Caenorhabditis elegans: one gene and its partner. The protein of the gene in region 1 interacts with the protein of each later gene in a pairwise test. Each region holds a gene or a part of one and is shown on either strand. Other genes may lie near its edges.

Evidence for each region.
Region 2: the proteins of thoc-5 (region 1) and thoc-7 interact in a two-hybrid assay, tested with the Caenorhabditis elegans proteins (one large-scale study listed by BioGRID).

Annotation. Positions count from the first base shown.
Region 1 is NC_003281.10:5,345,291-5,351,368, reverse strand, and holds thoc-5 (THO complex subunit 5), read left to right. Parts: upstream 1-1,967; 5' UTR 1,968-2,008; coding exon 2,009-2,134; intron 2,135-2,181; coding exon 2,182-2,301; intron 2,302-2,350; coding exon 2,351-2,688; intron 2,689-2,733; coding exon 2,734-2,993; intron 2,994-3,487; coding exon 3,488-3,869; intron 3,870-4,242; coding exon 4,243-4,611; intron 4,612-4,861; coding exon 4,862-5,066; 3' UTR 5,067-5,266; coding exon of another isoform or gene 5,267-5,314; 3' UTR 5,315-5,438; downstream 5,439-6,078. Other genes in the region: glrx-21 (Glutaredoxin domain-containing protein), read left to right, coding at 5,267-5,314, 5,524-5,718, 5,849-5,965.
Region 2 is NC_003282.8:13,881,055-13,884,899, forward strand, and holds thoc-7 (THO complex subunit 7 homolog), read left to right. Parts: upstream 1-1,679; coding exon 1,680-1,832; intron 1,833-1,878; coding exon 1,879-1,983; intron 1,984-2,331; coding exon 2,332-2,399; intron 2,400-2,451; coding exon 2,452-2,657; intron 2,658-2,889; coding exon 2,890-2,990; 3' UTR 2,991-3,123; downstream 3,124-3,845. Other genes in the region: B0513.4 (Transposase), read left to right, coding at 75-128, 199-302, 355-432; rpl-29 (60S ribosomal protein L29), read left to right, coding at 1,188-1,224, 1,379-1,530.

The DNA of each region.
Region 1 (6,078 bases):
GAAAAATTGAAAACTTCTGTCACACGAATAACATAGATGACCTATAAGTTTCTTTGAATACAAGGCCCTAGACCATCTCAATACCATTGGTACCTTAAGTTGTCATAAATACAAAAACTTAGGCCATGCAAACATCACCGGTGGAGATTTTTTAATACATCTATATGTCTAAACGATGTCGTTTTAATTAATGGCCAAAGTTTCAATAAACACGAAAATATAGGCCAACTCAATTTAGTCGTTGACCTAAAGCTTCAAAAAACCATAAACCACTCTATAATTACTACTCGGCAGTAGCCCGCAATTCCTTGACCAAGGTTTGCCCACTCCTTGTCCAAGGTCTGTCAGCTTATCTTTAGCCATTACAAAGAGCTGACAGACCTTGGATAGACTTTGGATAAGGAGAAAATATTTGTTTCATTTCTGGCAGTTCGCGCATGCACAACTACTCAGAAATTTATCGCCGCGGGTTACTGCCGAGGAAGTAACATTAACAATTAGAAAATTAATTTCTTCTGCTTCAGTTTTTCTGGTTACTGTAAATTTCTCGGTGGCCTGCAATCTTACCAAACTCAAGTTTCGAGTTTTTAAATTGATTTCACTATTAATTTGTTCTCAATTTTTCGAGAAAAAAATTAAACTTTTTTACCAATACCGATTGTTTGATTTTCTAAAACATTTTCATTTTTGAAAAAGCTATACATTCCTGATAGTCTAAAGTTTTCTTTTGAAAGAAAAATTTTCAAAAAGTCGTTTGAGAATTTTTGAAAATTATTAATTTTGGAAAACCTGGTCTACTTGTACTTCAGAAAAAAAAGTGATAAAATTTAAATCGAAAATTCGATAATTGATTTTTACATCTATGATTATTAATCTATTTTCAAAAATTCAAATATTGAAAAAAATATTACTTTGTTTTATTGGGATCCATTTTATCACTGGTATTCCGTAATACTTCATTTTTTGATCGAATTTCCCATAATTTCTTAATTGAAAATTGGCTGAGCACAGATTCTATTGAGAATACAGTCATTGGTTTGGATTTTTAATCCATGTTTAGTTCTGAAAATAATTTCGAGATTTTTTTTTTCTAAAACGGAAAATTAAAAATAAGATAAATCCAGAATTAATTTAGAAATAGCAGAGGAAATTTTCAAATTAAGAAAAAACTAAACTCAGTACAATTGAGAAATTTAAGATATTCAAAAAAAAGTTTAAAAATTAAAAGTGGTTTTAAGATATTTTGAAAACTATTTTGCAGATTTCAAAAAATCTAATAAAATCAGTAGACTTTAATGTAAAAATGTATTAATTTGTAATTTTTAAAAAATAAATAAATTGTTTTTTCGCGTCTCTAAAAATCGAATTTCTCATAATTATTTAGAAAACTTCAAGTAATTTTTTTCGACTTTAAGAAATTTGCAATGAAAATTCTCAACTCTCTTCAAACCCATAATAAATGTCAAAGTCATCAGACAAAAAAAAATTGTCTGAAAACACCGAATTTCATAATGAAACTTGATTTAAGTACATTTGAGGTTACCAAATTTTACCAAGTAAGAGGAGAGATTTTGGCTTATATCAAGTGGTACGGTAGGGGTACTGTAGGTGAACTGTAGAGTTGTAGCACTGTAAATGCAATTCCAAAGAGCATAAAATTTATCAAAAAAAGAGTTTGCGTGAATTTCTAATTAATTTTGTATCTTCTTTTTTTGTTAAAATTTGTTCATACTAACATATTTTTTGTTTGAAATTTAAAAAACAATCTTCGGGTTTTAAAAAGATTTTCAGGATGTAAATAATTTGGCCACGTTGTATTATTACGGAAACACGGAATTAGGCCGTGAAAGACGCAAAAGAGAAACATTTTTCAAACTTCGCTCCAGTTTTCCGCATCGGTGGCCTAGCTTTCTTTTTCGTCCATCTCCCGCGGACTCCTCTCGGACAGCATTTTTGTTGTACTTTTTATTGTACTTTTTCAAATTAACTTCTTCTTTTCAGCGAAAAAATGTCTGTAAACGTTCGCCCGGTGAAGCGATTTGTTGAAGAACAGAAAAAGAAAAATCCGGAAATTAAATTATCTGAAAAAGCCACACAACTCCTGACTGATATGCCGAAAATGGACAGCCCTGAGGTTTTTCAACAAGCGTTTGTTAACGGTTTTATCGATTTTTAATTCAGAAACTGTTCAATCTGGAAGACAAAATTGCAACGGAAATGGGTAGCGATCGAATTTTCGAAGAATTTCTCCAAGATTACGCATTTTTGAGAAATGCTGTTGAAGAATACTTGGATGGAAAGGTAGGGAGGCAGCTGTTTGAATATTTAAAAGCAATAATTGATTTTTCAGCCAACATCCTCGGATACTATCTCGAAAATCGCGCGTTTACGCCGAAATACACGACTTACCCACTATGGAACTGCCCTAATGCGAAAAGAGGTGGCCGAGAGGATGGAGAACGTTGATGCGAAGCTTCTACAGTTACAGAATGTTACTAGCGAGGTGCAACACATTCAAAAAGAAATCGATCGTTGTTTGGACTTTAGCGCCGGTGATGAGGAGCTTGAGTTGGTCCCTTTCGAGCAATTTCACACTGAAGCGTCGGAGATTCTTGCAAATGAGACGGCTGATAACGAGCACGAACAATATTTGGCAAGATTGAAGTTCGAGAATGAGCAGAGACGAGAGTTTGTGAGATTTTCAATAAAAATCTCTTTAAAATCTTTTTTCAGACTTCTCTCTACACTCAACGAGCTCGAGGGTCGTCGAAACGTACTGCAAAGCGACATACGTGGAAAAGAAGTTCGTCTTCAAGGTCTTAAACCAAAACTTGAAGATCTCACAAAAGTTGCGGAGCCCGTCTTCGAAATGGTTGGCGCCAAATTCAAAGATTTATCGATTGAAGGGGAGCAGCGAAAGCTCTCATTGCAATTGCCGGCTCCACTTGCTGTTGCACATATACATGCTGCTGCTTATAAGGAAATTCATGATGGTGAATATTCGAAAATTTTGCGAAATTTTTTGTATAAATGTGCGGTTTTAGATATTATTTCACTGAGATTTTTAAAAGCGAAATATTGTCGAAAATCTGGCATTTTGCAAAGATTTAGAGCAAAAACTGTACGAACAAGATATAAAATATCAGGAAATATCTCTCAGAAATCTGAAAATTTCTCGAAATAAATGGAATTTCAATCGATTTACAGATAATTTTAACGAATTTTGAGCAAATGTTTCGGTTCTGTTAAATTTAAAAAAAACTTAAAAATCTTAAAACTTACTTGACAAACTAGGAAAACATAGAAAACCCCTATTGAAAAATTTATGGACCATTTTCTGATAAAAATCTACTCGAATTAAATTTTGAAGCAGTTTTTTAAAAGATTATTTACCATTAAAAATGTTGAAAAAACTGGTCAAAATTGATTAAACATTTGAATGCAAAAATCAGAAACTATCAGATTTTTCACAATTTCCATATTTCAGACAAGCTCTTCGAATTCCGAATTCTTGGCACAAACGACACAGAAAAACAATCGAAAGATGAAACAGAAGCCATGAAAAGAAAACGAAAAGAAGATGAAACAACTCAAGAAAAAATTAATAAAATGGCTTCAGAACTGCTTGAAGTTCATCCAATGAGCCTGGAATTTGAGATTGAATGCTCTGAAAATATTAAAATTTCAATGCAAATTCAGTATCTGACAGAACTTAAAGTGACAACTGCGAAATGGCATATAAATACGGACTCAAAGCTCAAAAAATCACCGTTTTTCTCGATTGACTCACTGATGTCAGATTTATTCGAAAATGATACGGGAGACAAGTGTCCAAATGATGTTGGAGAAATGAAGATTGAACATTTGAAGTAAGAAATAAATATTAAAATATGAAAATCTACTTAAAATATCTGTATTATCATAAAATAGAGAATATCGTTTGAAAAGTTCAAAAAATATGCCAATTTTTACAGAATATTTAATTTTTTGAATTTCGAATAGTTATAACTTATGTATTAAACTAATTTTATACATTATATCTGAAAAACAAATTTCCGTAATTTTATTGCAAACTTCAACAACGTTGTTCCGTTTGAAAAATGGAGGAAAAATTGTTTTACTGAAAATATTAAATATTGTAGCTTCAAAAATTTTTGAAGACCCTCGGATTTATTTAGAACGGCAAAAATATAATTTTTAAAACACTTTTTTTCAAAAATTTCAATCCAAACCGCCATCAAGTTACAGAATGAACTTCAACTCAAGTGCAAAACAAATCGGAAAACCGTTCAAATTTATTCAAGAAATCAGTGGATCCGAAGGCGAAACTGATCGAATTGGAGCAACAGAGCATTTGAGAAAAGTGATCACAACGATTAGAACGAGAATATCCAATCGTGCAGTACTTGATGGAATTATTCGAGATTTGGAATCTAAGAAAACTGACGATTTGAATTTGGAACCAGAAGTGAAAATTAATTCCTTCAAGATTTGTGATGATGAATCTTTTATTGCTTCAATTCCAACAAGCCTTACGAAGAAAATTTCAAATTCCGCAGCAACCGACAGATTTTCATATAAAATTGAGGCTTCCGATGGAAATGGCAGAAAGTAATTTTTGAAAAATTCGAAAAAAATAAAAACATTAAACTTTTCGAAATATGAAACGTTTTTTCGTAAGTATACAATGAAAAATTCAATATCAAGTTTTTCAAATCTGTTAAAATTAACTGTGAAAGATATCGAAATTTTCCAATTTTTCTAGACTAATTTTGCAAAATTGCTACAAAAATTATTTTTCGAGACTTATAATTGCTTGAGATTTTCGATAAACAGATTCTATATTAAAATAATATTCCAGACTCACTGCTTATATCTCAATTCCCGCCGACTATCCACGACACACTGCACTTTTTGGAATTGCTGCTCCAGAAGATTCCGAATCAAGTACAGAAGTTGCCAGACAAATTGAGGATCGTCTGAACACTGAAGCTCACTATGTTGATGATGTGAAGAGTATTAAAGAACAACTTAGCCTGCTTCTTAAGCATATCGATCTTTCCTGATTTTTTTCCATTTTTCGTGTGATCTCTTAAATATCGTTTTTTTTTCTAAAAATGTTTTCTCAATATATCTTTGATTTTTTCAAAATTTCTACCCGATTTTTCAATATGTACCATTGGTTTTATTCCCAATATATTTTTTTGAAAAATGTTGATTAAAAATAGAATATTTGGCTCTTTCTTTCCAGCTCCATACTTCAAAAATGGGAGGAGTCACCTCAAAAGTCAATGTTGATGTTGTACAGGAACAGGTACATTTTTTAGAGAAAAACAAAAAAATCTTCTGAAAACAGATTGTGAATTCCTAAAAATAATAATTCAGAAAAATAAACTTCAATTTAATGTATTTTTTAAATAAATGTTTGAATTATTAAAGCGTTTTATTTTGAAACTGTCTAATAATTTTTAGAACTTTGTAAATAAATGGAAACTTTTTTGGAATTTAAAAAATCGATTACAGGTGAAAAAGGATCCAGTTGTGATGTACACAAAAACATCATGCACATTCTGTAATCGAGCAAAAGATCTATTTTCCGATGTTCGTGTTGCTTATAAAGAAGTGAATTTGGACACTTTGAAGGCATCTCAACCGGATGATTATTTGGGAATTGTCAATGGACTTGTATATACTACACGACAGACCAGTGTGCCACAGGTTCGATAGATATTTTTTTTGCAAAATTTGTTTTAATCTTAATCTTAATCTGAAAACGGCTAGGTATAGAATTTTCCATAAAATTTAAAAAAATCCGAATTTTAAAGTTTTTCAAATAAATTTCTTTCAGATCTTTGTCTGCGGTCGTTTCATCGGTGGATACACTGAGCTGGATGCTCTCCGCAACTCTGGACACCTCTTCGAAGCAATTGCTCAGTGCACGGGAGAGAATTCGCCGAAAGAATAAACTTTTTCACCATTTCCAAAAAAAAAGTTTTTCTTCAGTTTTTGTCTAAATTTTATTGTAGTTGAAGGTTTTCACACCTACCACGATTTATGTGTATTAAATTTTTTTTGTTT
Region 2 (3,845 bases), on another chromosome or scaffold:
TAACCTTTTGCACGAGCACCTAGTTTTTTCTAAATGCTGGGCATCATGAGGGAAAATCAAGACTTTTTTTTCAGATTATGTGTGCACAATCCAGGCCAACTATGGACTCTTCGGACAGGGCGGAAAGCGTTAGTTTTTTGTATTTTTTGCTTCATTTTTTTCCAATGAATTGCCATTCCGTTGATTTTTTCTTTCCAGATTACCGTCCAACGGTGAACTATTGCCAAGACACGTACAAGAACGATTCCTGTGATAAATGCTGCAAAATGGCCGCCAGAATCCAGGGAACTAACATCAAGGAGGTGATCGTTCACAGCTGTAGAAAAAAATATATTTTTAAAAATTTATTTTCAGGCCTCCATCATCGGGTTCAACATGGTCCTTGAGAAACAACCACTCTGCGTTTGCTGCTCACCGAATACTTCTTATTGAATGAACCGACGATAAACTCAATTCTTTTTAATTTTGACATAAATAAAATACATTCGAAATAATTCTGCAATTTGTCGAGACATGCACGAAAATACAACGAAAGATGGTAACCGTAGCGGCTTTTTATCAATTCTGGCCTCAAAAGTAAATTAAATTGTATACTGTCTGATTTACTTTTAATCTGAGCAAAATCGGTGAAATTAGAGTTTTAAAAATAAATTTATTTGAAAACAAGTGAGAAACATCATTCTACAAGCTAAATGACGAAATTTTAAAGAAAAACCATTTAATCTACTAACAGACAATCACTTTTTAACAATTTAACAAACAATTTTCAAAGTATTCGCCTAGTTTCAGCCGAAAATTGCTCGAAAAGTCTGAAAATAAAATGAAAAATTCCTCAGCTCGTAAATCGACACGAAACTAGTCGGCGTCTCCTCTTTTCACACACTCTCTCCGTAGCGGGTCTCGCCACGACTGCACACAGCTGAACGAGTGTGACCGTATCCGCCAGCCGCGTTCTTTTCCGTTTTCTTTCATTTTTCTTCCAAATCCTACAGTTTTTAACCTTTTTTGATTCTTTTTCGCGATTAAATTTTTTGAATTTGAGAATTATTAGTAAAATTTATGTATTTTGTAAGATCTCTCTTTTATGGTCCCAAAAATTCACGTTTTCGTCGTTTGGTTATCGATTTTTTGACTGATTCACATTTTTCTATCACAACTCGTCATTTTCAGGGTTAACCGTTGTCGTCATGGCCAAGTCCAAGAACCACACCAATCACAACCAGAGTGAGTATTTAAATTCAGATATAAAAGTAGTTTCTGTAGAGAAATCTCTTTTTAAAAGCATTCTTAAAGAATTTGAGCGATTTTTTTTTTGGATGAATCATTAAAATAAAAACTAGAAAAAAACAGTATTGAATATTTATAATTTAATTTTCAGACAAGAAGGCTCACCGTAATGGAATCACGAAGCCAAAGAAGCACATCTTCCTCTCCATGAAGGGAGTCGACGCCAAGTTCATCAAGAACCTCCGTTTCTCCAGAAAGAACAACAAACGTCAGATCAACAAGTCCGTCGAGTCCAAGGCCTAAATTGTTGTTAATTCGGATAAACTTTGTTACCTTTAATATCATCTGTTTTTGTTTACTTATTAAAAAATTGGTAGAAGTATGCGCCGTGCAGAATATTTGAATTAACATTCGGCTCATGTTGCGTGAACAAGTTGTATGTCTGACTTTAGATGAAAGAGGACACTTTGCTCCGAAAGCTTGTGGCCGACGGCGAAGGAGTTGGCGATGATCGTAAAGTTCAGCAAATTGCCACGTTTTTCCGTGAAAGTAGAAAGGAGGATGCGAAGACTTCTGTTCCCGAAGCAGTGAAGGTTACCAAAGCTGTAAGGATCCGGGGAGATCTTGTTCAGTGAAAATGTATGTTTTCAGCTCGAGTTTTTGGAGTTGTCGATGTTGAAGCAGAAAAGAATATCCCATATGAACAAGATTCATGCAACTGAATGCGATCAGTTTGCAGAGGAAATCGATCAATCGGTACGGAGAGGAAAACACGGCAATGGAGAAAAAAAAGACATATTGCACCATCTTTCCATTAAAAATTAGTGCAAAAAGATAGAAAATCACTTGATTTATCTGAAAATCAGGTTCATTGTAATTGAAATATTTGAGAAAGTGCTCAGAAATGTAAATGACCTGAAAATTGTCGATTACAGAGTTAGCGAGCTTTGTTTTTCAAAATGGATGTTATTTCCATATAAATCTAGTAATTTTCTATATTTTGACACCAATTTTTAATGAAAAATGTTAAAACGAGAGGTCATTTTGTTAAATTGCCGTTAAATATAAGACAGGATAATTATAAAAATTTAATTTCTATTCCAGATCGAAGAAATGTACAAAAAGATGGAGGTGGCAAAGAATGAGTTGGCCGATGCGAAAATTGTAAAAAGGTAATCGATTTTCCGAAAAATGTTAACCAATTTACAATATTTTATCATTTAGAAACCGTCAAGAATACCGAAAACTTGTTAATGTACTAGAAGAAGTACCGTCTCGAGCAGAAACTACACGAAAACTGGGAGAAGTCAAAGATGACTTGGAACGACAACACGAACGTCAGAAGGTGCTTGAGGCGAAGCTTATGGATCGAAGAAATCATCTCCAAGCATTCATGATTATACTCTCCAATTTTCAGCGTTTTTGTGCAGGTTCGTGTGCATTCATTGCGGAAAGTTGAGCTGAAGCCGTGAAATTACTGTTGAAATCAAACGATCGATCTGTGAATTTTGTAAAAATTCAGTAAAATCGCCTCACTGTTTGATTCTTTGAACTCTGCTTCATTTTTTGTTGTAATTTCAGTCTTCCCACGGCAGTCATCTATCACTTTTCCGTCTTTGAATTCCCATTCTTTGATCGTTCACCTATTTTTTTTTGTTTCAGAAGACGACGACGACGATGCGGAAGTCATGTCGAATCCAGGAGAAGATGACGATGCAGCTTCAGTCACCGAAAAACAACAAGAGGATGATGTCCGAAAGTAGACAGACGGCCACCACCACGACACACACACGAAAAAAAAAGGAGAAAAGCGGGCGAAAATACTTTTTCTGTCGATAATGATCTCTAATGCGATTCACTTCTCTCACTTTCAATGAACACTTTTCTCGAACATTTATTTACTTTTTTATTGTGACTTTTTGTACATAATTTTGCGGGATTTTTGAAGTCCTGCCGAAGGAAAATATACGAAATACAAAATGGGCATCGTGGGGAATGGAAAAATCATTTACTATATATAAAGCGCGTGTCCTTCTGTCCCTATGTAGTTTGATCTTTGATCAGAGCAACGAAATTTTGGGAAACCTTATGTTAAGTGCGCAGCAGACATCGGTCTCGCGACGATGGGTCTCACCACGATGGGTCTCGCCACGATGGGTCTCACCACGATGGGTCTCGCCACGACGGGTCTCACCACGATGGGTCTCGCCACGATGGGTCTCACCACGATGGGTCTCACCACGACGGGTCTCACCACGATGGGTCTTACCACGATGGGTCTCATCACGACGGGTCTCACCACGGTGGGTCTCGCAACGATGAGTATCACCACGACGAGTCTCACCACGATGGGTCTCACCACGATGGGTCTCGCCACGACGGGTATCGCCACGATGGGTCTCACTACGGTGGGTATCGCAACGATGGGTCTCACCACGATGGGTCTCGCCACGATGGGTCTCACCACGATGGGTCTCACCACGATGGGTCTCGCCACGACGGGTCTCACCACGATGGGTCTCGCCACGATGGGTCTCACCACGATGGGTCTCACCACGAAGGATGACAGACCCCGCCCACAATTCTCAGTGACTTTGGGTGTGACGTCACAGACTACA